Linked DNA regions of Danio rerio. The protein of the gene in region 1 binds, or shares a complex with, the protein of each later gene. Links are inferred from orthologs where the notes say so. Each region holds a gene or a part of one and is shown on either strand. Other genes may lie near its edges.

The links. Proteins that work in one complex are often made in the same cells at the same time.
Region 2: tox4a (region 1) and wdr82 share a complex: the UniProt entries of both Homo sapiens proteins name them as parts of the PNUTS-PP1 phosphatase complex. The link is inferred for Danio rerio from reciprocal best matches to the Homo sapiens genes TOX4 and WDR82.

Annotation. Positions count from the first base shown.
Region 1 is NC_133177.1:41,094,629-41,098,149, forward strand, and holds part of tox4a (TOX high mobility group box family member 4-B), read right to left. Parts: intron 2,432-3,521; coding exon 2,351-2,431; intron 2,268-2,350; coding exon 1,542-2,267; intron 1-1,541. UniProt on the Homo sapiens protein: Transcription factor that modulates cell fate reprogramming from the somatic state to the pluripotent and neuronal fate. In liver, controls the expression of hormone-regulated gluconeogenic genes such as G6PC1 and PCK1.
Region 2 is NC_133181.1:44,014,746-44,017,296, forward strand, and holds the end of wdr82 (WD repeat-containing protein 82), read left to right. Parts: intron 1-92; coding exon 93-162; intron 163-250; coding exon 251-393; intron 394-1,818; coding exon 1,819-1,848; 3' UTR 1,849-2,046; downstream 2,047-2,551. UniProt on the Homo sapiens protein: Regulatory component of the SET1/COMPASS complex implicated in the tethering of this complex to transcriptional start sites of active genes.

The DNA of each region.
Region 1 (3,521 bases):
CTCATTCCCAACCACAAGACTTATCTGACAGGGGATTCGAGTGTCATCGAGAGTCAGAATGTTGTGTAACTGCTATACAGGAGTTATGATTAGGGATAATAGATAGCGATATTAGCAGTTTTTATTTTAGTGTTTTTGTTTTTTAAACCATGACGGTAAAACACAAATGCTGTTATGAATATATTAAAACATGCTTGTTTGTCGTAAAAATTCGTAATAACGACAAAATAAATACTAATTTGTGGATCTCCTGACTTCTGGTGCAGCTATACTGCCGTTGCGGCTGGTGTATTCTGGGAAATTTTCTTACCCCTTGGTTTCGAGTGTGGTCCTGAAAAATCTCATTTTGAAGGGGTATCAAGCCCTTCCCCTGAGCCCTACGCTATTAAGCTAAAGAGAATTGGGCCACCCCTACCCATTCACCTGAATGCACAAAAGAAGGGGTAAGGGGAAGGGTTAAGGGGGAGAATTGGAATTGGGCCATAATGTGCTGTGACTCGCAGATCGACTCCATGTCAACAGGAAAAGCGTCACACTTCTAATAGCACACGCTGTGCCTTTGCTGTGTAAATACTGTCAGAGTAGCTGTTAGCCGTATCAGTTTCAGCCTGAACAAACTTTACATACATTTAGGTTGTAAGCATGTTTAAGCAATATAAAACGTTCTCATATCTTTTGTGAGTTTGTTATTTGAGATGTAGAACACAGGGAAAGCGTCTGCATTGAGAGACACTGCAGTGCTGATGAAGGTTGTGGGTGTTCACAGCATTTTGACGGATAAATATGAATTTGTAGTTTAATTTTTAGCGGTGCCAAACAGCATTTCCTGTTGTTTATATCCTTGTCTAAGCCCTTGCTTTAACATACTGTTAACGCTAGACACTATGTCATAGATCAATTTTAACAAATAAAAATACTTACAGGTTGTGGCTCACAATCTACAGCTTCTTATATAGTGGTTGGATCTGCTCCTCCTTTGAGGAGTTTTTAGCCGAATCCAGCACTGAACTGTGAGAGATTCTGGATGCTCTCCCTTGTCAAATGCTAGCTATATCTTTATCATAATTGCCTGGAACATAATTAAAATTAAATTGTAAGCACTTCTCTCTTTGTGCCATGCCCTTTGGAAGCTCAAATACAGAAACAGAAGATGCTCTGTGGAAATAGCAGCATTTGCATGGCATTTTAGCCTTCTCTGCTATAACATTACAGCGCCTCCGACCATGCCCCTTCACTGTGCAGGGTGAATGTGCCTAACCTGAAGTGTATGTGATCTCACTAACCCAGATGTATTGTTTGTAGTCCCCAAACTTTTGCTGTAGGCTTTGCTAAGCTAACTCTGTAAAAGCCAACATCTCCCTTTGCATTGAACTTTGAGCGCATTACATTTAGAGATGATGTTTATGTTCACACAGCTACATTACACATCAACCAAAGCTTAAAATATTATATGATAGTGGACCACCCCTTTAATAGTGCATAAATGGAGAGGACATTTTCATTTGTGTGTGAACCATCCCTTTAAATATGGGAAAGCAAACCTCTTCAGGCTCCTCTGTCACAGCCTCATCTGTCCCGGTGTGCAGCTCCTCTCTGGGTTCCTCCACTTGCACCTCAACGGGAGCAGGATCATCTGCGGCTGAGATGCTGGATGCGGAAATCACAGGAGTGGCGCTCGCTGCTGTAGTAACAATAATCGGAGTAGACAGGTCAGAGTGTATTGAAGCGGGCACGATCTTTATCTGGAGAGGTGGAGGTGGAGTAACGGTGATGCCCACAGAACTGCCTGCTCCTCCACGGGGTTTGGCCTGAAGAGGCGGAGGGGCTTGTGTTTGCACCATCTGCTGCAGGCGGGGTGGAGGCGGTGTGCCCTGCATCTGCTGCAGAGGTGGCGGCTGCCGTCCAGGCTGTACGGCTCGCACACCAGCTGGAATCACCGTGACCATGGATGTTGGGATCTGGTGGAGCTGAGCGCCTCCTTGAAGCATCTGCTTAGAGATGATGATTTTGGTGACAGTGGGCGTCGGGGCGGGGCTTGGTGCTGGAGCTTGACCAATGGCTACAGGTAGAGAGCCTGTGCGGGAGCGAGTGGTGACCTGAGGCAGGTCCAGGATGATATTGGAGGCGCATATGTTGGTGATTGTGTTCTGTTCAGTGATGGGGGTCAGCCGAGGACGGATGGGGGCAGCAGGAGGAGTGTGGATGGGGGCAGGAGATGGCATAGAGGGAGGAGTGGCAGGAGCGCTGTCTTCAAGCTCAGAAGATGACTGGATGAAAGACGTTGAAAAAATAAGTAATATCAGATAAATGTGCAAATCAGAAACTGACAGGCTAGAAATTAGACACTCACTTTCGAGAGCTGACTTGCTCTGTAGGCCGCTAACGCTTTCAAATAGTCTTTCTTAGCTGCCTCTGTCTTCCTCTTGTAAACCTGCGAAAATTAATAAAATGAAAATTAAAAATGACACAAACTCTTAAATGGTACAACAAAGGCTTTTACACCATGTGTCTTAAATCATTTAGTGAAGTGACAAACCACTAATAAAATTAAAAATGTTGTATGTAAGGTTTTGATTTTTTTTTAAATCATAAAAATACCATAACACATCTGCAGATATTTAAGAAACATGCTAATGCCGAGTTGCATGATTTTAGCTCTGATTTTGACTCGCCAACAGGTTTTGTGAAATCGCCGACAAATGCCTTGTAACAATCACAGAGTATGAACTATCAAAGACAAGATCTGAGAGAATTGCAGACGAGTCGCTGACACCTGTGAGATATTTGACATGCTAAATATGTGGAGCTGTCGGTAATCTATAATCAAGCCGTGTGAAATGTGTTCTGATTGAAAATTACATCGGCGATCACCTACAGCCAATGAGAGAGCAGCATCCACTAGTATGGGTATCTGAGGGTCAGTGAGAGGTTGGGGGAGAAGTTAAAAGCACTTATTTTCCATCTATTTGGACCCAACAAATAGAGGAAAACTAGTAGAAATTTGGAAGAGCACTCGTGTCTGTTGGACGTGTCAGAGCAATATCACAACCAGGTCGAAAAAGAAAATGTTGAGAAGAAATAGCAAATTCCCTTCAAAAGTCATGTGAGCAAAATAAGTACATTTTCTACCCCACTAAAGGCGTCTTTCTCTTTTGATCTAATTATCGACTATAGATATACTACTTAACTTGATCTCGCGTGTTTGGTTGTGAAATGTAGTTTGCAGACCAAGACAAAAGTTGCCGCCGATTTCTACTATTGTAAAGTCATGTGGTTTGAAACCCCCTGTCGCCGATCCATCTTGCTGTGTAAACAGCACTGACAGAATGCTGCCCCTGATAGTCATGCAGTGTGAAAACATCCATGATGCGACTACTTTAAAAAAATCATGCAAATCTGTACTCTGCATAAGTGAACGCTTGTTATTCATGCAAATCTGAACTCTGCATAAGTGAACACTTGTTTATCTGAAAAACAAGAATTCAAGTCTGTTATTCTCCTTTGAAAATGTGCGCTCCATG
Region 2 (2,551 bases), on another chromosome or scaffold:
ATAAATAGCCTAATTATTACAAAGCATTTATGATTATATTAGAAAAAAGCATAATAAGGCACTTTTAAGAGTGTTTCTCTTTCTTACTGCAGGGTTATAACAACAGTAAAGGTGTCATTTTGGAGGCTTCTTTCACACCAGACTCTCAGTTCATTATGATCGGTAAGTCTTCACTTAAGCTTCTCACAGGACTACAAAAGGACTTAAGATGAGTTTACAGAGATTGATCGTGTCTCCTCAACATTTCCAGGATCAGAAGATGGGAAGATCCATGTGTGGAATGCTGAGAGTGGGATGAAAGTAGCGCTTCTGGATGGGAAACACACTGGTCCTGTTACATGTCTACAGTTTAACCCCAAATTCATGACCTTTGCCAGTGCCTGTTCTAACATGGTAAGACTTAACCGAAGGTAGACACAAATCTGATGTTTGGCATAACTTACTGTATATGTAGATGGAATATGTGCAATTTGTCACATTTTCAAAACTTGTTTTGGGAGAAACTTGGAGGTAGTTATGAATTAGTTAGTCTTAGATGTCATGCCAAACACTGCTCACGGACATGTGGCTAAATGTCTGATGCATATGGCACACTTAATTGGAAACACTTTAACAGATCATCAGTTGTCCTCTGATTTCTGGGAGTCTAGTGTACAGCAATATTAACCAGTCCACCTGGAAACAAGTCTGATTGGATAAAAAAACTGCTGCAATGTTTATCTCAGTCTGCGTCCACATACATCTCCTACTGATTTCCTATATGTTTTGCTGACAGATCATTAAGTATATTGATGCGTTGTTGTAAACGTTTGAAGACCTGAATGGATGACGCATATGGCTAGGCATTCTGTAGACTCTTCCACGCACATACATAAGACACAACACAAAACGAATGGTTATTGGTTGGTAAAGCTGTCAGTCTGAAATGGCATCATGGGTGGTTCTTTAACCATTGAAATCTGCCAAAGTTCCCAGACCTTCAGCCATCAGTATATGCCTTAGTATTCCTGTTCATCTCAGTGGCATTTTTTTTACTTTGCATTCGTTTAGTACTCTATGCTTTCTGAAAATAATAAAATGTCAAATGGTGCAATCTAATCGATAGTATAATTTACTATAAAAGATTCACAGAATTTAAATGAATGAAAAGGAAATTGCTATGGACTGTAGTCTGTGAATGTTAAACTCAAAACAATTATTTAAGCATATGTGTTTTTTGTTTGTGTAAATAGATCAGAAAAATATTAGCCTCATTTTAAAGTATTACTTTTATTATTATTGTTTATTTTTGTGACTTGTGATGCAGACTTAAAAAAAAAGAACTTAAGAGATGAACATAAAACAACTGTATAAAACAGCCTTTTTAGTATAAGGTATTTTAGTCAGTAGCATTCACTGCTAATTTTTTATGGTAATTATTGGAGAAATGGAATGGGGAAAATGTGATATAAAAAGAGTACACAGGGTTGTCAAATTGTCCTTAAAATCTTCTGCGTTTTCTTTGTGTAAATACTGCAGTAGTCACTAATTGACGGCCATATATATATATATTTATATTTATATACACATACAGGGTGGGCCATTTAAATGGACACACCTTAATAAACTTATTGGGAATTTCACACAAAAAAAACAATGATGTGCTTGCTTTTAACAATTTTATTCTTTCATGAGTTATTTACAAGCCCCCTCACATACTATTGTGCCACAAACAGGACGTTAATATCACCAGCCATTCCCATTTTATTAAGGTGTATATAGATGCATCATTATTCCTGATGTATATCACAAACATATTCTGAAATGTCCCCTGCACAGGCGTTCTGGTTACCCACCATTGATGATTGATGGGCAGCTGTCATCAGTCGGCCTGTGATGTTCTTCCAGCAGGTGGCGTCATTCACCCTTCTCTTGGCACACATGAAGATGTTCACCGTGGGAATTTTGGACTGTAAATAGATTTGGCTTGATGCCGAGTTGTATTATTATTATTATTTTTTTTTCATTTTATATTTGTATGATTAAAAAGTTTTTGTAAAACATTAAGTGATCTGTTCACACATTCTGTTTTGTTTGAGGTTGTAACAGTGCTCAATGAAACTGAGGTGATGTAAAACATCCAGCAGAATTGATCTTAGCTCTCCAAACTATACCAGAAGTCAGCACCTGTAGATTTAGCATCTTGTGCGATCTAAAAAAAAAATGTCAATGGAACTTTTTTTTTTTTAATAAACATGTTTATACAACTTTCCAAAGATTTGGTTTTGAGGCCTTTCAGACATGTAATGCTTCTAGCTGTTGTGTGTAGTCCAGTATAATTGTGTCTGAGGGGAACTGCTTTTATACCATTATTTTACCTGTTTCTGTTGCATTTCTTTGTAATATCAGCATTGTAAATTGCTTATAAAAACAAATTTTATAATCAGTATACACTGACCAGCCTCTCTGAAGCGTCATCTTGTTTTGTAACTTACTTTGCACTAACAAAACAACACATTTTATTTATATGAGTTGTAGCTTTGTTGTCACTGTAATTTGTTTTATTTTTTAA